3 linked regions of the Lytechinus pictus genome follow. The protein of the gene in region 3 purifies or fractionates together with the protein of the main gene of each other region. This does not show direct contact. Links are inferred from orthologs where the notes say so. Each region holds a gene or a part of one and is shown on either strand. Other genes may lie near its edges. The genes, in order: vesicle-associated membrane protein 7-like, vesicle-associated membrane protein 4-like and syntaxin-8-like.

Region 1 (8,643 bases), on a different chromosome or scaffold from region 3:
AATACTTGCCAATAGTATTTGTTTCCAATACTTGTTAAGGGTAGGGTTTCACACGCCAATACTTGTTAAGGGGTGCATTTTCAGAATATGGAAAATACGTGTTTAGGGTGCTTCTCAAGACCCCGTGGTCGCGCATGGTATATCCACTCGTCAATGGAAGTGCCCCCCCCCCGGGCTTGCAGACTGACTGATTTTATTCCTCCCGAACATGTGGAACTACCATTGTTATAACATTTTGTGGTTCAATAAAGCTGGTGGGTGTTTCATAAAGCTGTTCGTAAGTTAAGAACGACTTTAAGAACGACTGGTGATCCTTTCTTGTGGTAAATGGTATATTCATTGGCGACGGTTTAGCGCATAAGAAAGGATCACCAGTCGTTCTTAAAGTCGCTCTTATCTTACGAACAGCTTTATGAAACACCCGCCTGGTCTTTAATTATTATTGAAATATTGTCTATAATTCAAACAATAAAAAAACAAAAGAAATAGTGAGGTGCATCATTGGCTCTCACATTTGCATATCACTGAGTTGTGCATATAACTGTTTTGTGAAAAATAATTAAGCGAAACTTTAAAATGTCATAACTTTCTTTTTTTACGGCAACCGATTTCGATGAAATTTTCAGCATCGACGGTGCTTGTTTGATTTTTATCTGTTTATTCAAATCATGATCTTTCTGGGGTGGACTTGACCTTTAAGGATATAACCACAAATTCCTGATAATTAAGTGCATGGCCTCTGGGATAGTTGTCCCCACCACTTGTCATAATACTCAGTTGCCATGTTGCAATTAGAAATTTACATACTTTTACTAACTTTGAGATCTCGGTTCTTTTTGCTTTGTCTGATTTATTTCTTTCTGTTGTACTTATTTTTCTCTCTCTCACAAAATGTTTTGACCAAGGGTATAGATTCCCTTAAAATCTGAAGAGAAAAAAAATCACTGCTATTGTGTCCAACTTCATAGGAACATTTAGCCAAGTTCAACTCCGGGGTTAAATTATCCAGGTTATATACCAGTACCAATGAAATCTATCGATTTGGAAGAGCAAATCACAACTGTGAAAATATAGTGGACTAGTTGCCCATAATGAAAAGGGTGATTATTGAGCCCAAGACTGGCAGTGGTTTATAGTGGGCTGAAGATGCCTATTGAACCACCGTTTGGAATGCTATATACTCCGGGATGCTACTGTTGATATACATGTACAAAGGTTAAACAAATGAACAAAGAAACTTTAGTTATCATTTTGAGATCCCTTCCTCTGCACTTTGTGTCATTTATCACCCCCAGGTTTTGTGACATTTCTTGAAATTTTTCATGGGGGGGGGGTCTAGCTGCTCCCGGAAGAGAATTATATGACAAATGTAGATATTAACAAATTAACAGCGTCAAATGGGACCTGAGAATGCTTGGACTTTAGACTCAAAATTTAATTTAAATGTTCATCAATAAACGACAAGGCAGCAGTTTATTTGCTAGGTTTTAAGTGTCAGTGGGTATATTGTCCTTTTCTCTTGGACAATGATATAACAACCATTACTCCTCTCATCTAAACGGGCGGATCTGAATCATACAAACCTCCCTTTTGTGCCCGTAGTGCCTCCACCTGTTCAAAATGATGAATTGTAAAATAAACACTTGAATTTCAGAAAAGACATCCTGAAATAACAAAGTATGAACATTATCTACCATTGTTCTTTCTTGTGTTCTTTTATTAAATAATTAGAGATGTCATTGTATGACTATCATTGTCATGATTATCTCGGCTGCGCTGACATACCGGGGATCGGATGACATCCATTCCCGGATCCGTTTCACATCACATCTTCAACGCCCAAATTAAAACAGCACGCGCGCGATCACGAGATTCGGGGAATGGAAGTTGAGATTTGAGTATACCAGTCGAGAACGTAACCCGCTTATTCATTGTAAGTAAGAACAAACTGATTGCACTATGTCAATCAGAATTTACTATCGTCTCGGCTTTCTGTAGTTTCCATCTTTGGTACTGAGTTGAGTTTCATTATGTAAATGAAGATCAATTAAGATAAACTGGCCAGCTTGAATTGAGGGCTTGTTTGTGACTGTTTCTATACGTACCGTAACTGACATTGCTTTACAGGGGCATGACGGGGGAACTCCCCGCGAGGTAAGCAATCCATGCCCGTGGCATGGGGCGTTGCAAGAAAACCACCACAGTTGCGGGCCAAAAAGAGTGCACACGCCCTTGCCCTTATTCTAGAGTAGTCCTTGTTTGAATCTTGGTTGACTTTAATACTCTTTGATTCTCTTTTCAATCGGGGAGGGAGGGAGAGGTAAGAAACTAGGGCCAAGTGGAAACTTGAGTCAGTGACTCACTCACTGAGTGCAGTACTGCTTTTGTTTGAAATCGTTTACTGGTACATTTGGTACCGTATTCCTGACAATTCTTGGACGGGTAAAGGTTTTTGATAACTTCGTGATCTCAATGTAGATGATCATTATATTTACCTTGCCAAGTGCTAAAGAATATTCTTGCATTGATTTCATTTCATTTCATGACCTGCCGACGTCGGTCCCCTTTAGCTTTCGCCCTTTTAGTTTTTGGACAGTACCTTTAAATGGCCGGACAGCTGGCAAAACACGCACGCGCGCTCATTATGGACACTATTATTTTATGAAGTGCGACGAGCCGACGATGGAGCTAGCTAGGGTCTTAGACCAAAAGGTTCGGTCTCTGTTATGTTGGTTGTTCCACTGAACTCCGGTGGCCGTTGGCTCCACTCACCAAATACAGAGACCGAAGTTCTAGCTCGATCTGTACAGGGACTCAATGCCATATGTTTATGTATTAGTTCGGTAAACAAGGGAAGTGGGAGTTGCGCGACAGCCGATGTAAGTCGCTGTTTTTTCCTCTTTTAAGTTTATTTTCCTGTTTTGGTGCATTTCAGGCCAAAACAGAAAAATAATCTTTATTTTGGCACAGTTCTTTTCATATATTTTTATGAAATAAAGACAAAAATCGATGAGCCCCATCGGGGGACTTTGCATTCTTAACCCTCTAATGGTGGCTGCATGATGGTGAGCCGTCTGTGTACGAGGAGAAATAAAAAAAATTAAAATTGTAAAAAAAAATCCTCGAAACAGACGGCTACCAGCTGTCTAGGGTCTTCTTTGTTTTTAATTGAAATAAAGGGGTGGGTGAGCTTATTAATTGTTTGCTTTAGTTTTATTTAAATTATGATCTTAGTGATTCAAATTATAAAGGGGGGGCTTCATTGTTTGTTTTTATTTCATTTCTTATTGAATAAATTATTCATAGTGATTGAAGGGGGGGGGGGCTCTTTTTTGTTTTATTTATGATAATTTTTATTCTTAGTGATTAATGATAAAAGGGGAGAAACATGGCTTGTTAAATCCGTATTTTTTTTTTTTTAAATCTCATTCTTATAGAGATTGAATTCAATAATAGCATTGCTTTATTCTTTGTTGCTTTTTATCTTAATTTTTATTTCTATATTGTGATTGGAATGATAAAAGGACGAGGTGGGGCTTCTTGGTTGTTTATTTGTTTTCTAAATTATTTTTATTTAAGTGATTAAAATGGTAAAGGGGAGGGTAGGCATTTTTTTTTTTTAGTGATTAAAATGGTTAATGATTTTTATTTTTAGTGGTTAAAATGGTTGGTATAAGGGATGGTAGACAGGTCATTTTTTTACCGTTTTATTTATTTAAATTTTTATTCTTAGTGATTAAAATAACTTGAATTTATTAAATTAATTCTTTGTATTAAAATCATGAAGCCAAAATACAATACATTTATAGTTCTTTATTTACTTTTGTTTTGCTTATTTATTTTTGGATGAAGTCAAAATATTAATATACTACCATCATTTTTAATGTATGATATAGTGAATTAATTCTTTATTACAATACTGTTACAGAGCAAAAATGTCCATCAGGCGGATAAATTAATCCCTATTTTTTGTGGGGTGGGGGCATTTATGGTTTGGATTATGCCCATCCCCACTAAAACTGTATTTAATACATACATGTGCATCTGTAGTTTGCTGTTGGCGAGCTCTTCAATCTGGTCAATTCCAAGTTCCAGATTTTCATAGACATCATCATCATGTTACAAAGTGAGGTAATCCTTTTGACCTTGATCATGTTGATCACTTCATCTGGTGGAACAGTGGAAGTGAATGGATTTGCTGTATTCTTGTTTAGGTCTCATATCCTCGGTGTAGTAGACTCGTCTGACCTACAGCCTCAGGTCAAATAGTGAAGTGCGATAATTATTAATTACAGTACTTCCACCATCATTGTCTTTGTAGGATATGCAAACTACTTTGAATAAAGAAGACAATGAGAAGCCCAATTTTAATGCATTTAAAGAATCTTTTAGATTCCCTAGTACCGGTAATAATAATAACAAGAGAGAGGGAGAGATCAGTGATAAATATTATTCAAATTTTTGGGTTTTTTCACATAATTCAGGATGAATTTAAAATCTGCATTTCTTTCCAATAATATTGCTAGATCTGATATTTGCTTGTTTAGTTTCAGGCTTCTTTGCATCGTTCTTCATTCTCTTTAATATTTCTTACATTGTAGTAAAATGTGTTGTTATTTGTTAGAGTACTGTGCAAGAATATGTGCATGCTCGTCTTTTATTAAGATTGGATCAACCACTACTGGTATACTGTTTTTGGTATTCTCATTTTGAGTCTGTCTTAAAGCACCAGTCCACAGCCAGTAGCTAGATGCACAGAGAAATATGCAAGACAATTTCCAATATTGGCAACTTTTTGCAAAAAGGAAAGATAATTTCATTGAAATAAACAAAGTCAACAACAAGGTAATTTTTCATTCATTCCACCTGCTTGTAGGCTAAAGGAGAAAAGATGTTCTGTGGACTTTGCTTGACATTTATTGGGGATCTGTATTTCAAAACATGGTACAGTTTTACAGCTGAAGATAAGACCCAAATGTGAATAGTCATCATGCAGCCATATTTTGTAACAAATTTTATGAAGGATACAGTCGCTTTTTGATGCGGGCATCTCGTGTCAAGTAACAGTTAAAAAAAATAAAGGTTCTTTAAATTACATGTATTTGAAGACTTATGATATTGCACAGTGCAATTGAATACCTCTATCTCAAGTATATGAAACATTTGGATACCAGCAAAATTTCATGTGATCATTAATTCCTCTCAAGAATTAATGACCCAGGTGTTATTAGTTTGCTGCAAAAGTTATTTGTATGTAGTTTCACAGAGCTTTCATAGTGGACAAAGAAGCAACCCATTCAGTTTGTGATATGCTGGGTTGCTGTGCTGGTGTTAACCATTTTAAACCTCAGGGGTGAATACAAATCAATCTCTGTGGAATTATTTCATCCTGTTTTAGTTGATATGTGTAATTAAGAAAAAAGAAATGGCTCCAATTCCTATTCAGAAGCGTTCATATCTCTCCTACCTTTCAGAGTCCCCGGTTGATGGTCTTGATCACATCTACAGGAGACCATCTGACGGAGACAAGATGCCTATACTTTATGCAGTCATCGCTCGTGGCACCACGGTGCTTGCAAACTATGCAGCTTGCCAGGGAAACTTCACTGAGGTGACAGAGCAAGTACTGATGAAGATTCCTCCACAGAATGCCAAGTTGACGTACTCACATGGAGCATACCTCTTTCATTACGTCTCAGAGGAGAGGATTATATATATGTGCATCACAGATGATGTAAGTAGTACCCATTCAATATGAGAACCACTTGGTTTAGTTCCCATAGCCATAACCATAACCCATGTCCAAGAAGTTCAAGTTGTAGTTGGTCCCAAGATCTTGTTTTCTCAAGATGTCATACTCGTTTCTGAATCAACTTGACAAACTATTACATGTGACTGTTGAGTGATGACTTTGAGAGAAAATCTGTAATGTTTAGGTTAATTGTTACCACAACATAATGTAGGTTAATTGTTACAACATTGTTCAAACTTTTATTATTGTATCAATAAGAGTTCTGATACAAGCCAATATGAAATATTTAACCACCCTTTATTCTGAAGATGGCTAGCACATAACACTTTAGTGATAAAGAAGAAGCTCTGTCATTTGTAGAATACCATGTTTATTTTCTATCATGGTAATGATTTGGAACATTACATTCCTTGTAATTAAATATTTATTCTGAGAGTTTGTATAATGATTAAAATATTGATATATCACACAGTAAAATAAAAAAATATATAAATGCAGAAAATGGATTTGTGTGATTTTGTGTAGTAGTAGGATGATAAAATGCTGCTAAATTACCCTGAAAAGAAAATAAAAAGATTTATTTTGTATTATATACTTTTTATGGTTCAAATGATCATTTATTAATTGGTCATTGAATATTTTTCTTCTTTCCAGGACTATGAAAGGTCAAGAGCATTTGCATTTCTCCAGGAGATCAAAAAGAAGTGAGGGCTTGTTTCAAATATTATTTGCCTTTTTATAGAAAAATGTATTTTATGGACTTTATATCACATGACATGGAAGAGCTGATCACATGTGAGGTTACAAAGTCTGAACGTTGAATATCCCTATATTAATCGATATTTGCCAACCCTTCATTCATATGCTGCAATTACTTCTTGTTTGTTATTCAAACCCAATTCGGCATTAGAGAAATTCCCCCTATTGAAAAAAATAATTCTAAACTGTACTTGTAGTTTCTATAGCACAAGTCAGGCAATTGTTAACTTTTTTAAATGTACATTAGCGTCTTCACTGATTGAGATCAACAGTAAGCAAGAAATTCCTTTTGTAATTTGTAATACTTGAGTGGCTCAAGTTGGGCAAGACACTATTACCAACCATACATACTGTATATAGTTTGTGGGATTAAGAATGTGTTTAATACATGTACATGTATCAATCAGTAGCACACATGATATGATGTCTCTATGTGCCTTAAAGGACTAGGACATTATTACCCCAGTTTAAGAGCATGCAAGCTTTTTAAGGGGCTAATTCCTGCATGTAATTTGATATGAATACCCCCTTATTTTCTATAATTAAGACAATTGTGCCATAACTGTGATACCAATGAAATAAATATGATTAATGCATGATAAAGACACTCTCCAAAGTCCCAATACACCATTAAATAATTTGTAACATATTTTTTACTTGTGTAATGTATTGACTTTACCTTCAGTATAAGCTTCTTTCAAAATAGAAACTGAAACCAGATATCTTCAATATCATGATTTTTTTTAATGTCATTATTCCAACTTACAGATTCACAGCCACTTATGGGTCCAGAGTACACACAGCGCTTCCTTTTGCAATGAACAGTGAATTCTCTCGAGTATTAGCTGCACAAATTGTAAGTCTAGAAGTAAAAACTTGTCAACAATAGCAATTTGAAAATATTCAGTCTCGGTCAAAAGAGCAAAGAATGTAGGCTGGTCCCTAAAATATTTACATAGATAGTTGAAAGAACAAGAAATAAATGAAGAGATGCAAAGGAAAAAAAAGGCATTGAGTATGATGTTTGATTTAGGTATGAATGCAGATTGAAGATATCTTATAACAAAATAAGATATTATGAAGACATTGTCATTTTGACTGAATACCCTAGAGTGGAATTGCCCAAGTGGTAGTTTTACTTTCTGTTCATAAATTATCTAATTCTATCATTCAATTCTAAGAAATATATTTGATCCTATACAACCTGTAATATAATTTTGCATTGATCGACTGTTTATATTGTGTGGACTGTTTTAACTCTAGAGACTGCATTTATAGTTTGTTTAGAAGTGATAAGAGGGGGCATTGTCTAGATCATTTCTGATAATCATCCACTTGTGATTTTATGAATCTGTATAGTAGTGTAGCTGGTTTTTTATTAAAATGAAATCCAAGTTTAATGGGTCTATCACCAAGCCACCTGTACTTATTTGAATTTTCAATTGATAATGTAAAAATAAAAAATCATGAAAATGATCTAAAGGGATTAGAATGGTTTTAAATTTGATATTAATTGTATAAGCTAGTGCATCAAATCTGCAATATGGCAGGAAGCATGTCAGGGGTATATAGTTTTTATTTGATTTTATTCTATTTATTGTTTCACATTCCACAAAAACATCTTTATTAAATGAAAAAATAATGAAAATTACATTCACTTATTTACAAAGTAATAAGAATCTCATGAAAATGAAGAACGTATTAAAATCATAACTTGTAAAATATAGGTTCCCAATATATGCATTCATACATGTATCTCTAATTTTAGAATCTACAGTCTAATAATATTCGGTTGAAATATCAAAATGCATAAAACGGTTATTGTTGAGAATGTTATTTTGAACAACAGGATTCATTTGCTAAATTGACATATAATTTAACAAACATTTTATTTATTATTAGGATTTATCAGAGCTTAAATAATGCAGAATATAGATCAATTTATTACATTCTTTGACAGGGGAGATTGGGGTTATATTGAACATTTTGACCAAAATGGCTGTAAAATCCAAATAGATTTTATTCAAGAAACAATCTAAGGGCTACAAATGTACCTCATAAAATTCTTTAACTTTATGACGGTTACTGAAAAAAATCCACCTTGAACACAACCAACTCAAGTGTTCCAACTT
Region 2 (7,744 bases), on a different chromosome or scaffold from region 3:
GTCTAATGTTTGACTAGTATTACTATTACACGGACGAGTCCTGGCCCTGGGTTAGCTAGTGCACGTACCGAGTTATGGTAGGGGTTCCTAAAGCTGCGCGGGTCCTAAAGCTACGCACCACTCCATCGCGCATGCAATTTCAATGGGAAAATAAATGCGCACTCGAGCTCTGTGTGTGAAGCTGTGACTGCAGAGTGACGAACGATCCTATTCAATTTTTTTACAGAGGCTGCAATAAATTCTTGAATGCAGAGAAAACCAGCAAATGTTTGGAATTTTTTATTTATGTTCACTTTAATTTCATATTTCCCTATAATAATACGAACATATTTTAGAAATTAAGGCACAGGAAATACTATTTCTTTGCATGATAAATCGAGTGCGTAGCTTACTTTAGGACCCCTTCTACATCGGCGACGAAATCAAGACAAGAGGTGTTCGGAAAACACGGCGGGTTTTTCGTATTAGAGCGTGATCGGTTCATCACGGACGGACATTTGATAGATTTTGAAAACTTTGAAGGCTTGTAACAAATTGGGAATAAGATGAACATGGTTCCTTTTTGTTTTATAGTGAAGGGTTACTTAGGACAAAGTATGCTGAATGATGAAAAAAGTTTGTTGCCATGGTTACCTACAAACATAGGTAGCCACTAAATGTGCCATATCACGGACGGACATGATAGAAATGTGGTTTTCAGAATTTTTGAACATTTTTATTGTTTCTATCTAAATAGCTTAACTTTGACCAATAATGGAAATGTTCACACCTACCAAAAAAAATTACTTCCCAATATTTTTTTTCTACTAATTTTTGTTTGATAATACTATAGATTAATGTTTAGAGTGCAAGAACATCCAAACCAAATTAGAATAACTTTAAAAACCATAAAACTAGAGAGAATTTGATTTGAGTAAAAATGTCCGTCCGTGATGAGAGGTAATAGCACCCCCACGAATAAAATGGACTATTCCAGTACTTTCGGATTCATCAATCTTCATGAAACCGAGTTCTTTGAAACCTGAGATATCAAAGAATATCTTAAAAGCAATTTTGATAGAAAAAAAAAAAAAACCCTTAAAGGAGAATGAAACCCTTGAAACCATCTGAATCCATATCAAAGAGAAAAATCAAAGAAACATATTGTTGAAAGTTTGAGGAAGATTGAATGAATAATAAGAAAGTTATGAGCATTTGAATATTGAGATCACTAGTGCCATGTAGATCCTCCCATCGGCAATGCGACCAAGATCTGTGATATCACACACGTACAACTCCCTCAATACTTTAGTACTTATTTCACTTATATTCTCACTTTTATAGAGTCTATCACAAGGTGAGGTGTTCTCTTTATGAGATGACAAGTACAGAGGTTTCACAACATTATATCATTGATGAATCGTTTGTCATATGATTAGAATGAGCAAAAAGAGATGTTTTGGGGTATATTTTCAGTGTCCAAATGGGAGAGTTCTACGTGTGTGACATCACAGATCTTGGTCGCATTGCCAATGAGAGGATCTCCATAGCATTAGTGATCTCGACATTCAAATGCTCATAACTCTTTTATTGCTAGTCCTATTTTACTCAAAGTTTTGTTGATCTTATTCTTTGATTTTTCTGCTTTCACAAAAGCTAACTTGCTCCAAGAGTTTCATTCTCCTTTAACTAAGGCTTAACCGATCATGCTCATTACTAAAGTCTAAATACTAATTTAGTGAGTTCTGTGATATTTTCTTCTTGGTTAAGAGAATATTAATTACAAATTAGTGAAAGACAAATGGTTAAAATATTAAAATTGGCATAGTTTTTATCGTTTGAAAACAAAGTGCGCGCGTAGCCGTAGCTTTAGTTTAGGTCCCCCCATCATACAACTTACGGTTACACTTGTTACAGTCTACAGTACAGAGCTAACGTTAGACGAGTGTGTATTTTTGTAATAAGCTACTCGAACATCTACACTACAGTCCCATTCACAGCAATCACTGTCAGTAAATTCTTTTCATCTTCCAAACAACGCACTAGTAAGCAATAAAAATTTAGTTTAAGCTCAAATCAAAGAGTTTATCATTCACACATATATAGAATGAATCATTTCTCAATGGATCAACTATCAAAGAATCGAAATCAATGTATAAAATCACAAATCTTCAAGTTCACAGGTCTTTCTTACCGATCTTAAAAATTTGCCAGTGACCTATTTTCAGAGATTCCCGCGAAGATGACGTCATGATGGTGCGTGCGTGATCTCAATGCATGGTAAATTGCCAATTCGCATACTCGCTGCCAACTCGTCCACTCACCAAATGTCATTCCGTCAATCAACATTTCGTCTAAAAACTATTTGGTCCATTAATAACCATTTGGTCCAATCATCACTTCGTCTAATAACCATTTCGTCTCATAACCAGTTGGTCTAATTAATATCCACACTTGGCACAATTAAAAAAGGACAAGTCCACCCTAACAAAAAAGTTGATTTGAATAAAAGAGAAAAATCCAACAAGCATAACACTGAAAATTTCATCAAAATCGGGTGTAAAATAAGAAAGTTATGACATTTTAAAGTTTCGCTTAATTTCACGAAATAGTTATATGCACATCCTGGCTGGTATGCAAATGAGGAGACTATGACGTCATCCACTCACTATTTCTTTTGTATTTTATTATATATATTCTAATTTTCTCCTCATTGTCAAGTGATACAACGATTGATTCCTCCCTGAACATGTAGAATTAGCATTGTTTAATGACATGGTTCAGTCAAATTGGTCCCCCTTTGGTCCTTATTGTCATATAGATAAATAATGAAATATTGTATAGGCCTAATTCAAACAATAAAAAACAAAAGTGAGTGATGGACATCAACGACTGACTCACCTAGTTGTGCATATATCACTGTTTTGTGAAAAATAAGCAAAACTTTAAAAATGTCATAAATAATTTTTTATTTTTCATCCGATTTTGATGAAATTTTCAGCGTTATGCTAGTTTGGTTTTTCTCTATTTATTCACATCAACATTTTTCTGGGGTGGACTTGACCTTTAACATTTTTTTTTAAAGTTTCCTTTAATTTCCCTTCCATGCACTTATTTTCCTTGTTCCTTTTGTCATTGTCCGTGAGAAGATGGCAGGCATGCAGGGGCATCTCGGGAGCCATATAGGGCAATTTTCGCACCCCTCGGTGGAGCTTAATTTTACTTCATTTTCTTTTTTCCCTTCTTTTTATCTTCCATATATTTGATGGAAATCATCAAGGGGGTAGGGGCTCTCTCAAATTTTATTCCCCTTTTTACCTTTTTTCCCCTTTCAACCATGTAAATACCGTTTCCATTCTTTTAATTTGCTTCTCCTTTGACCGCCTTTCCCCTTTTCTTCACCCTCTTCCTTTTCCTATAGGCTTCTTGTCTTTTCTCCACCCTCTCTTGAAATTCATTCCTTTCATTTTTTTTTTTCCATCCTCCATCTCCCTTCTTTTTCTTTTCTTCCCTTTTCCATTTCGCTTTCGATTAATTATTTTTCTTTCTTTAATGAAACTGTTGTCCTTTTCTTTATTAGCATTTTCCCTTAATACCTTCTTTAATCTCACACTTTTTCTTTATTCATTCTTTTTCATTTTCCTTCTCTTTTTAACCTCTTTCCCTTTCTCTTGCCCATATAATTATATTATTTCATTGTATTATCATTATTATTTTTTGTTTTTTGGGGGATATAATGGATCCGCGCCTGCATGCATACATGCAGCCACGTACGATCTACAAATACATTTTGAAGTCAAAAGTTTTGTATTCCATTTTTTGCTCCTTTTTGATTTTTATTGTTTAATATGCATCGGAGTCATGTTAGCCATACTAGTCCTCTTTTAGATTTTTCTTTTGGAAATAATTAAGCTTTCGAGCTTTCGTGGGTCATCCTGTGCAAGCCTGTTGTTTTATGTTCTGGTGACTTGCCAAATAAAATAAACCAATCAATCAATCAATTCATTGCATAGTTAAGTTCTAAACAATATCTGCGCCACATCTTGTACAGAGGAATACGCCATCTACGTTACCAATACCAGTTAGTCGGAGGCCGAAGACGACAGACGTAGATCGAGTTGGAAACTTTATTTTATGAAAACAAGCATTTAATTCTGCAGAATGTTTCTCATTTGAGTGAAAGGTGGGTATTTACCACATTTCATTAAATTCATGACATAGAAAATTAGTCATTTGATTTCATTCACAGTCTGTACTGATTAGCTATCGTACTCGGAGTCGATCGACTCGAGTCGACTGATCCCCGATCATTTACTATTTAGCTGAAGCGAAGCCAGGCAACCGTACGCACGGCCGGCGACCCGGGCCCTGGTCGATCGGCGACTCTGGCACTGCATGTTCATTGCTAACCCAGAGAGCTCCCGCCCGCTGCGCGGGCGGGAGCCCAGAAGCTTACCGTGTATTTTACCATTGTCACCGGACTAGGGTGATTTATGGTCTAAATATTTCTCCAAATGAATTGTGAAAACAGAAAGTATAGAATTACCACGATTATATGGATGAAGGTCTAACGAGTGGCAGATTCCTGACATCTGGGCACAGTCTGGAACCTCAAAAAAACGAAAAGTTCTCTCCTTCTACCCCGTCTCGATCGGCCATTTTTGTTAAAAATTGTAACAAAATGGCCGATCGAGACTGGGTAGAAGGAGAGAACTTTTCGTTTTTTTGAGGTTCCAGACTGTGCCCAGATGTCAGGAATCTGCCACTCGTTAGACCTTCATCCATATATACTTTCCGTTTTCACAATTCATTTGGAGAAATATTTAGACCATAAATAACCCTAGTCCGGTGACAATGGTAAAATACACGGTAAGCTTCTGGGCTCCCGCCCGCTGCGCGGGCGGGAGCTCTCTGGGTTAGTTCATTGCAAGTGCAACCACTGGCACTAGCACTTCCACTGCACTGCAGTTCCACTGCCTGTCACAAGTGTGTCTTGTCTTGATTTGTTTCATTTGTCAGTGTTTGAGTGTGACTAACGTGATGTAATGATGGCTGAAAATAATGCAGGGAATATTTCTGGCATTCTGTGCCGTGCCTTCTGCCTAGACAAGATAGCTGGCAGCCGTCTGTTTCGAGTTTTTTTTAATTTAAAGTAGGCCTACCGCCTAGGCCTAAACATTTTTTTAAATTTTTTATTTCTCTTTGTATGTACACTGTGATGGCTCGCGATCGTGCAGCTGCCATTAGGGAGCTAACAGTGCAAAGTCCCCCCGATGGGGCTCATCGATTTCTGTCTTTATTTCATGAAAATATATAAAAAGAACTGGACCAAAATAAAGATTATTATTCCGTTTTGGCCTGAAATGCACCAAAACAGGGAAAAATAAACTTAAAAGGAAAAAAAAACCAGTGACTTACCTTACCTTACCTTACCGCAAATACTGGAAGAATGCTGAATTAGCAGTCGAGCTTCCAGGTCTATCTTCTAATTTTGTCAGCTTCCTTCATGCTTCAATAAGTTTCAATAAGTTTAAGGAGGCAGTGGGGCAAGTTGGTGAAAATTGACTTCTCATATCCAGTTAAGAGTAGTGGGAATCATAATGCTTATCTTTCCAGTGTCGGTCTAGCCTGATTTTGAAGGTGTCTACTGTGGGAGCTTCAACTACCTCAGCTGGGAGAGAGTTCCAATCATTGACTACTCGGTGACTAAAAGCTTGCTTTCTCACATTTGTTCTGCATCTTGGCTTTACAAGTTTGAACCTATGACCTCTTGTAGTACTGTCAGCTAGCTGAAAAAAGTGGTCTGGGTTAAGCCTGTCGACTTCATGAGTGATCTTATACACTTGAATCATGTCACCTCTCTTTCTTCTGTACTCCAAGGATGGTAAGTTCAGGTGTTTAAGCCTTTCCTTGTATGGAAGATGTTTGATCCTGGAGATTACTTTGGTTGCTCTCTTCTGAACTCTCTCGACAGCCTTAGCATCAGCAATGTACTGTGGTGACCAGATGACATTTCCATATTCCAGGAGTGGCCGCACTAACCCTTTAAATAGTTTGGGGATAGTGGTCGAATCAAGACACTGGAAAGTACGTCTGATGCTGATTAGTACCCCGTTTGCCTTATTGACAGCATTTGACACTTGCTTGTGGAATTTTAGATCGTCGTCAATGATGATCCCTAAATCCTTTTCTTCTCTAACTGCATTCAGTGCTGTACTCCCGATGTTGTAGTGCTCTCTTTGGTCACCTGATCCAAGATGCAAAACACTGCACTTGTCAGTGTTGAATTGAAGTTGCCACTTTGAGGACCAGTCCATCAGTGAGTGCAAACTTGCTTGAAAAACTTCACATTGATTTGGAGAGGAGACAGAAGAGAAGGCCTTAGTGTCGTCTGCATAGATCCTTAGAGTGGATTCCATAACATCAGAAAGATCATTGATGTACAACACAAACAATGTCGGGCCGAGCACGCTACCCTGGGGCACCCCGCTCTTTACCGTGCACCACTGAGATCTGGCATTGTTTACAACTACCCTCTGGGTTCGGCCACTGAGAAAATCAGCAATCCAAGTTTTGAAGCTCCCTTGAATGTTGTATGCATCTAGTTTTGCCACAAGACGTTGATGGGGTACACTGTCAAAGGCCTTTCTAAAATCTAGGTAGACAACATCAACCTTTTCACCTTTATCCAGTAAGGATGTCCAGTCCTCTAGTGTCTGGAGCAGCTGTGTAACAGTTGATCTACCTGGGACAAATCCATGTTGGGAATCGCTGATTAGTTCATTCTCCATCAGATGATCAACGATCTTGTCTCTGATCAGCGACTCCATGATCTTACAGGGTACTGAAGTCAAACTTATTGGTCGATAATTAGTGGCTTCAGACTTGTTTCCCTTCTTGTAAACTGGAACAACGTGACTTGCTTTCCATGCTGAAGGAAGCTTGCCTTCTTTGAACGACTTAGTGTAGATGATGGCCAATGGTGTACACACTGAAGGTGCCGTTTCCCGTAAAATGCAAGGATGGATACCATCCGGTCCAGCACTCTTAAATTTGGAAAGCAGATCAAGTTTGCGATGTACATCCTCTGGGGTTATGTCTAGAGCAGATAAGCATCCAGCTGACTGTCTGCGTTCAAGCTGTGGGATGGAAGAAGTGTCCTCTTCAGTAAATGTTGTCTCAAAGAAAGCATTCAAGATTTCGGCTTTCTCTTCATCTGTTGAAGTGAAGGTACCATCCGTCTTTTTGAGATCAGGAAGCCCCTTTCTGGTCTTTAGATTATCAGATGCATATCTCCAGAATGCTTTTGGATCCGTCTTCACATTCTTCGCAAGGTCCTTTTCGAAGTTACTTCGCAGATCTCTTGTGAGGCATTGAAGAGCCTTTGCTAGTCTCCTAGCTCTAGCAATGTCAGTTGGGTGTTTAGTGACTTGGGCTTGTTGCCATGCACGATGCTTTTGTCCATGCAGTCTGAGTGCTTGATTGTTCATCCATCTATGCTTTTTCTTACGTCGCCGTGATGAAGAACACGGTATGTGTTTCTTCATAATGTCTGTCAAGATTGTATGGAAGAATGACCAGGACTGTTCAGTATCCATGTCCTTCATTGACTGTTCCCACTCAACTTTATCAAGCTCCTCACATATGTCATGGTATTGTCCAAGACTGAACTGAAGTTTGGGAAACTGTGTTTCTTTTTCTGGGGCTGAGAGTGTAATGGTCAAAATAAGCCCAAGATGGTCGCTCAATCCAAGAGGAGGCAGTG
Region 3 (8,256 bases):
TACATGGTCCGGCAAAGAATTCACAGAGTTACTGAAAAGCATAAAATTTGTTTTGTTTACATTGAGTGACAACTTATTTGCTTGAATCCATGTCTGAACAGACCGCAATTCCCTATTCAAAATGGTAAGTAGTAAATTAGGGTTACGGTGTGACAAAAAAAGGTTCGAGTCATCCGCGAAAAGAATAAATGATAGGTCATTTGATGAATTATTAAAATCATTAATATACAACAAGAAAAGCAGTGGGCCTAGGAGTGATCCTTGCGGTACACCGCAAGAAATAGTTTTCATTTGAGATTTATGGTCTTCTATTGAAACAAATTGTTTTCTGTTAGTTAGGTAACTCGTGAACCATTCCAAGGCCTTTCCACGCACACCATAATGTGATAACTTGTAAAGCAAAATATCATGATTAATCGTGTCAAAGGCCTTGGAAAGGTCCAGGAATACACCAACTGTGTGCAGAGAATTATCAATAGCATTTGCCACTTTGTGAATAAAAGGATCGTCTTCTCCTAGTACATGTACACTTTGAAAACAAATACTTTTAAATGGAGTGTTTATTTACTCTTCCGTTTTTCTGAGGTCGAGCAAGTCTATCAAAGTATATTCAACCAAAACGATTTGTTTTGTATTGTACTTATATTTTGGTAATTGTCTTCTTGCACATCGCTGTGCCATATTTTTAGCATGTCATGCTCTTTTTACACTTGATTTGATTGTCAGTCTTGAATCTATTTTCCATAATTTCTACTTTATTAATATGAATGTGAATCAGCAAGAAAGTTCACAAAACCTTCGTACCAGTCGTGTATCGATTTGTAAATTATATCATCGCTATATTTATTTATCAAGAGATGCAAGTAAAGTCGTTATTATCGTAAAACCTACTATCATTATGATATACAAGTATTTTTTGTTCACACGTTTATTATATGATGGATAGTAATATAGATTTGGAACTAAATGAGGTCATTGCAACGTCATCTTGCCAATATTATTTACCCCATGAATTCAAAAATAAGATTACTTACCAAGAAAATCATTTCAGTATTCTTCATGTAAATTCAAGGAGTCTATGTAAGAATTTTGATACTTTTCAAGAATTGCTTTCTTCTGTTGAATATGAATATAGTATTATATGTGTAACTGAAACATGGCTAAATGACAAATCTCCAGATTTATTTAATATAAGTGGTTATTTACTTCTTCATGTTGATAGAAATAATATGAAAGGTGGTGGTGTTGCTATATATATAAAAGAATCTTATCAATTTTTTTATCAGGAAAGACTTACAATTTGTGAGTAATAGCGCTGAATCATTATTTGTTGAAGTTGAAAATTGTAATTCCAAAAATTCTGTTATAGGTGTTGTTTATCGACCACCCCACTTAAATACTGAATCCTTCTTCTCTGATATAGATATTATTCTTCATAAACTTACAACCGAAAATAAAGATATATATTTATCTGGTGATTACAATATTGATATTCTAAATATTAATAAACAAAGCCAAACATTTTTCAATGTATTGAATTTGTATGCATTATATCCTTTTATAGATAAACCAACACGTGTTTCTGCTGTAAGTTCTACTTTAATCGATAATATTTTTTCCAACACTGACAAGCGACATATTTCATCTGGTATATTATATTCTGATGTTTCTGACCATCTTCCTATATTTATTATCACTACACTTGGACAAAGTAAAAAGCCTGCTACAAATATTACTTATATTCGAAAGATGTCTCCTGAGAATATGCAAAATTTTATAACCGAACTTGAAGCCGAATCTTGGGTTGATGTTTTATCCTGTAATGACGTTGATATAGCATATAAATTATTTATTGATAAACTGCATTGCTGTTTAAACCATACAATTCCAAAAGTTAGACGAAAAAGGTCATCAAAAACTCCTAGAAAACCATGGATTACTTTTGGGATTGTAAAGTCAATTCGAAAAAGGAACAAACTTTATAAAACTAGTTTGAAGAATCCTTCCTCTGAAAATATTAGTAAATATAAAAGATATAGAAATTTTTTAACATGTATCATCAAAAATGCAAAGAAAACATATTATTCACAAAAATTTGAAAATGCTAAAGGAGATATGTCAGCTACTTGGAAAAATATTAACGAATTATTGGGGAAAGCAAAGGATGCTAATTTAAATCATAAATATTCACATGGTGATTTTGTATATGAATCATTAGATGATATTGTTAACGGTTTTAATGATTATTTTGTTAATGTTGGGCAGGAACAAGCATTAAAAATACCACATACCACAACTAATTTTGCAGATTATTTACGCAATTCATGTCAACATACATTGTTTTTTAATCCAACAAATTCTGAGGAAATATTGAAAATCGTAAACAATCTTAAAAACAGTCGTTCTTTTGGACATGACGAGATTAGTAATTTTCTCCTTAAAAAGATTATATTAAGCATTATAACTCCTTTTGTTCACATATGTAATATTTCAATGTCAACCGGAATTTTTCCACTTCATATGAAAATTGCGAAAATCATTCCAATTTATAAAAAGGACGATCGGACACTCATTGAGAATTATCGCCCTATCTCTATTCTTTCGTCATTTTCAAAAATACTTGAACGTCTTGTTTACAATAGATTAGTTTCATTTTTGTCATTACATAATTTATTAAATCCATCCCAATATGGTTTTCGCAAATTTCATTCTGCTGATCTAGCTCTTGTTGATCTTTATGATAAAATTTCTTCTCTTTTAGCAAAAAAGGAACATGTAATTTGTGTTTTCATGGACTTAAGTAAAGCGTTCGATACCCTGGATCATACTATATTGCTTTACAAATTAAAATATTTTGGTGTTAGAGGTACTACTCTTAATTGGTTTAATAGTTATATTTCAAATAGGCAACAATTTACATGTATAAATTCAGTAAGTTCTAATTCACAGTATATTAATTGTGGTGTGCCTCAAGGCTCAATTCTGGGCCCGCTTTTATTTCTTCTGTATATAAATGACATAGTATATTCTTCACCCTTATTACAATATATTCTTTATGCTGATGACACAACAGTTATTTCTTCAAACTCGAATAAAAGAATGCTTTTTGAAATGTTGAATAATGAATTGCCCAAAATATCCACATGGTTCCAAAGTAATAAATTGTCTTTAAATTTGCAAAAAACATATTATATTGATTTCAAGAACTCCAAAACAATAGCTGATCATTATACAGAAGAAATAAAGATAAGTGGGATTTCTATCGAACAAAAATATAATGTGAGATTTTTAGGTGTCATTCTAGATGAGTTTTTAACATGGGATGACCATGTATCTAAAATATTGACGTCTGTATCAAGATGTATAGGTATAATCAGGGAAGTGTTATAACACTTCCCTGGTATAATGTTTAAAGTTAAACACTATTTACCTCCTCAAGCATTACTCTCAATTTATAATTCTATTTTACTTCCACATATCACTTATTGCAATATTGTATGGGGCTCATTCAAATAAAAAAATCACCATATCCTTTTACTTCAAAAGAAAGCTATTCGTTTGTGTGCCGACGCTGGTTTTTATGAAAATACTGGTCCCCTCTTTAACCGTTTCAAGACTTTAAAAATTGATGATATACATAAATTTCAAATTGCTTTGTTTATGTTTAAGTTTCACTGTCGCCAATTACCATTAACATTTGATCATATGTTCCTTTTGAATTCGTTTATTCATAATTATCCTACGAGAACCTCAACAAATTTACATTTATCAAATCCGCTAACTGCCTTAGCCCATAGGTCAATAAGACATACTGGTCCAGATACCTGGAATGATATAGCTTTAACAATACGTGGTGCTCCTACATTGAACAAATTTAAGTTTGAGTTTAAGCATTCCATTATTAGCACTTATTTGAGTTAAGATATTGTTCTATCATCAGTTTCATGACTTTCATCATATTGCATACTTTATTTTTTGTATTATTTTATACGACGTATCTATGTTAAACATAGTAATATTAATCGATACACGGCTGGTGTGTTATTATCATTTGATTTATTCTTGACATGCTTGATGTGTTTTCCTTTTGGCCCTGCTTTTACTGTAATTTTTAAATATGACTTATATTGATTTTATTCAGGGCCGTAGTGAATGAATTCTTTCAAAAATTCCTATTAAAAAAAATCCCCTTTCAGGACCGATTGTCTAAACTTATCAGCTTGCTCTGTGCGCTTGCCGCTCGCATTTTGATTATTGAGATGTATCCTCATTATGAATTCTAACAGTCTTTAAAATGCCCCTTTACAGTTTATCATCAGTATACGCATCTTGTTCGTTTTACAAGTGTTTAAAATGGTCCTTTTTAGGACTGAAAAAATCCAACCAATCACCTCATGCTTTGCGGTCGCATTATTAATTATGGAGCACATCCATGTAATGAGCCCATACAAAGCAATTTGTAAAATATCACATTTTTAGGTAACAGTTCATTTTATTATTGATTTGGCTAGATACGCATCCTGCTGGATTACAAAGAGTGTTCTAGTAGAGCGGATGAGCCGAACAATTGTGCAAATTATGACTAAAGCATGAAACTTTCACAAGTATTAGTATATGCCGTAAGATTTATTTTAAAGATGGGAGGTAAATTTATTAATGCCATTTTCGGCCGTTGCCATGGCAACGGATTAATTTCTCCAAATTAACACACATTCCCATGTAAATGGTAAATAAACATGATATAGATGACCAAAATGATAATTTTCAGGCTCCCAATTGAATACATATGAAATTTAGAAATATTCAAGATCACCAAGATAGTTCCAATTGGTCCGTTACCATGGCAACGGCTTGTTTTTCCCCAGAAAAATAAAAATTGTTGTGATTTTTGGAGCTTATCCGCTCTACTATTCAGAGTGTACCTTAATTCCGATTTTAACTTTAAAACGATCTAGGATGCAGCTTCATTATGTTTTTTTTTCAATCACGATTTGGGTGTTTCAGCGACACCATAACATTCGGTCTTGTGATGTCAAGCTTGAACTAAATCTCTTTCACATCTTTTTAATTGGCAGATAACCATGTATAAAGCGTGATTATTGTAAAAGTGCATGAAAAGATAGTTCTTTGTTATTTTGCATTGGTATAGGGTGACATAATTTTGTTGAAAGATGGCAGGATTCGGTGGAGATGCGTGGTAAGTTGTGGCTAAATTACTTGTTTACATTTTCCTCTCAATGTAGTCCCATTCGTTGATATCCGAGTTAGTGACACAAATATTTGTGCATTCGTTGATGAACACCTGTCATTTCAAGACAAGTGGACTAGTGGTTAGGGTTGGTGGGTTTTTATTATGTTATCGCTAAGAAAGTATATATGCTTGTAAGAAAATAAAGAAGGCTATATGAACAAAAATACCTAGCCAAGACGATATTTTGTGATGATATTTTTATTGAATATTTATAATTAGGGCCTAGGGCCTATAGTATAGGCCTATAGACATAGTCTATTTGACTATTTCATTTTCATGATAATTTAATTTTAATTGATGAAACGTCAATCGTCAATATCAGAAAATGTTGTTGTTGTTTGGTTTTAATTTTAACGGTGCTTTTATTCAAAAAAGAATATATGCGCCAATCAAATCTATTCTATTAAGTATTATGTCAAAAAATATATTTTTATTCACCCAAGAATTCATTACATGCCGCCGCGCACGGAAAAATCAAGCCATAGAAGTCGTGTGTTGTGGACCCAAGAAGTGAGATCCCAGCACGCGCGACCCACTAGTTAGAAATCCACTGCCAAACGCGGTTCGTGGTGCGAGGTTAGTATACTAATACTAACCTCGCAATACGTGTGAGTGATTTTTATTGTATTGTTTTCAGTAGGGCCTTATTAAGATTTGAGAAGTATAAGGCCGTTAAATTTAAGATTTTGCAAGCGCACGCAAGCTTTGTTGCACTTAAATACAAGTGCAAAATATATATATTTAACTGGGCGTTGTGGCATGTGCCTGTAATCCAAGCCATGTGGGGAAGTTACTAATTGATGCAGAGCAGAGGTTCAAGCCCTGGTCACGTCTTTCGGATGGTGACGTTAAAGGTCGTTCCCAGACGTAAATAATCATATCTGATTGATACACATCTGACAAAACTCAAAATACACACACACACACACCATGGGGTCACTTTCTCACTGCAACCACCCACTTGTTCACTGCAACCATCCTGCCTGTGGGGAATCTACAGGTTGGACTATGGCATGCCAATGCTGTACAGAGCACACACTTTAAAAAATGATTAAAATATCACTTTTGTGACCAAAATTACTAATTTCCATACAGTTGCAATCTATTTTTCATTTGTAACTTGGGAATAATTTTTGTATTCACTAGAGCGCTCAAAAACTTGAATTTTGGGCATATTTTTGTGTACGCCCTCTATTGGTGGAAAATAATATGGCAAGAAAATTTTCATTTTTCATCTCTATTTTTAATTAAGAAAAAAATAATTTAAAGAATCAAATTTACTAAAGGGCCAAGTTGTATGACGAATAGGTGTAATGGAAACTGTCAGTGTAAAAAAATCAAGCATTTGTCCCAAAGAAAAAGAGAAAATAAGCCAAACATTGCCATCCTTATTTTGCCACACATGGAGATATAACTGAGAACAAGGTTATATCATAACCTTGTTCATTGAATGAGTGGCAACCACCCTGCCTGTGGGGAATCTACATGTAGGACTATGGTATGCCAATGCAGTAGACAACACACATTTAAGAATTTCATTAAAATATCACTTATGTGACCAAAAATACTAATTTCCATACAGTTGCACTTTAATTTTCATAAGTAACTTGGGGATAATTTTTGTATTCACCAGAGCACTCAAAAACTTGAATTTTGGGCATAGTTTTGTGTATGCCCTCTATTGGTATAAAGTAAAATTGCAAGAAAATTTTCATTTTTCAATCTCTATTTTTAATGTAGAAAAAATAAAAGAATTCAATTTACTCAAGGGCCAAGTTATAATTGAGTAGCTGTATGAAAACTGACAATGTCAAAAAATCAAGCTTTTGTCCCCAAGTACAAGAGAATTGCCAACCTTATTTAAGGTGTAGTGGTCCACCTGCATTCCCCCCAATCAGTTTTATCGGGAGAAGAGACCTGCGGGTCATAGTGATTCAGTTCGCTTTTCACCTCCCAGGCACAGGTGACGCCAAACAAATAATAAAATATAATAACCACACATAGAGTAGTAACAGAGAACATTATATCATAACCTTGTTCATTGAATGGGTGCGTGGGGTATGGTATAACTTGAAAAAAAATCAACATCATATCACATTGGTAAACACCAGATGAAGGTGGAAAGTGCAGAGCAATACATAATATTATATAATAAATGGTGATGTCTATAAATTATGAGACGTCTTATAAATATAAAAAGTATATTTTTGCATCATTCGTAGGTCATTCCTAGCTTCATCTGTGGGGCCTGGTGCCCTCCTGCTTGCTGCCCCGTTTACCGACAGTTTAAGGGGCAAGCCCGGTCAGCACACTACTCACAGGAGCTCTAGCAAAATATTAAGGGCACCAGCCCCCACAAGACTAAATGAGTCATCAGCAAATATTATTAGCAAAAATCCTCTCCTGATTCCTAGCCGTAGTTGGGTCATACAAGATTTGTTAACGGACGAGTCTCACATGTACGCAATGTTCCTTGTGCATGGGTCTTTTTTCTTCTAAATATTGGTCTAATTAACACTATCATAAATAAAATCTTTCCGAAACAACATTGTTAAAACATCAATTTGAAGGTTTTTGATAAGAAAATGAAAAAAAAATTGATTGTGTTATCAACATCTTATTCTTAAAAGTAAAAAATGTATTTGTACAATGTACATGTGTAGCACACAATTATTTCATGAGAAAGTCTTTGAAATCAAGTTTAATTGTCGTTATATTATGATATGTTTATAACTGGGCAATTCCATAAAATATGTACGTCCGGCCCCCTATATTTGGGACCTTCATGAAATTTTCTGTCTCTGATTTTTGGTTCTTTTGACAGCCTGTAATGCTGTCAAATGACCATGACTTGTTCAGTTTATGAAGAGAAGTAAAACTTGAGAAAAACGGGGGTCGGATGTACAAAAAGGTTGATTATTTTACGGAATTGCCCAACTGGCACATAAACATTGATTTAACTTTGTGAAATCCTGAAATCTTAGCTAAAATCAATAGCTCTGAAC

What was found.
Region 1: the proteins of syntaxin-8-like (region 3) and vesicle-associated membrane protein 7-like purify together in Homo sapiens (affinity purification with western blotting; 3 studies listed by BioGRID and IntAct, with this or other methods). This does not show direct contact. The link is inferred for Lytechinus pictus from reciprocal best matches to the Homo sapiens genes STX8 and VAMP7.
Region 2: the proteins of syntaxin-8-like (region 3) and vesicle-associated membrane protein 4-like purify together in Homo sapiens (co-immunoprecipitation; 3 studies listed by BioGRID and IntAct, counting the BioPlex papers as one, with this or other methods). This does not show direct contact. The link is inferred for Lytechinus pictus from reciprocal best matches to the Homo sapiens genes STX8 and VAMP4.

The regions. Positions count from the first base shown.
Region 1 is NW_026974140.1:15,218,024-15,226,666, forward strand, and holds the start of vesicle-associated membrane protein 7-like, read left to right. Parts: upstream 1-5,336; 5' UTR 5,337-5,425; coding exon 5,426-5,734; intron 5,735-6,406; coding exon 6,407-6,456; intron 6,457-7,279; coding exon 7,280-7,367; intron 7,368-8,643. UniProt on the Homo sapiens protein: Involved in the targeting and/or fusion of transport vesicles to their target membrane during transport of proteins from the early endosome to the lysosome. Required for heterotypic fusion of late endosomes with lysosomes and homotypic lysosomal fusion.
Region 2 is NC_087259.1:11,820,211-11,827,954, reverse strand, and holds the start of vesicle-associated membrane protein 4-like, read left to right. Parts: upstream 1-4,047; 5' UTR 4,048-4,162; intron 4,163-7,744. UniProt on the Homo sapiens protein: Involved in the pathway that functions to remove an inhibitor (probably synaptotagmin-4) of calcium-triggered exocytosis during the maturation of secretory granules.
Region 3 is NC_087254.1:19,111,948-19,120,203, reverse strand, and holds the start of syntaxin-8-like, read left to right. Parts: upstream 1-4,997; 5' UTR 4,998-5,171; coding exon 5,172-5,197; intron 5,198-8,256. UniProt on the Homo sapiens protein: Vesicle trafficking protein that functions in the early secretory pathway, possibly by mediating retrograde transport from cis-Golgi membranes to the ER.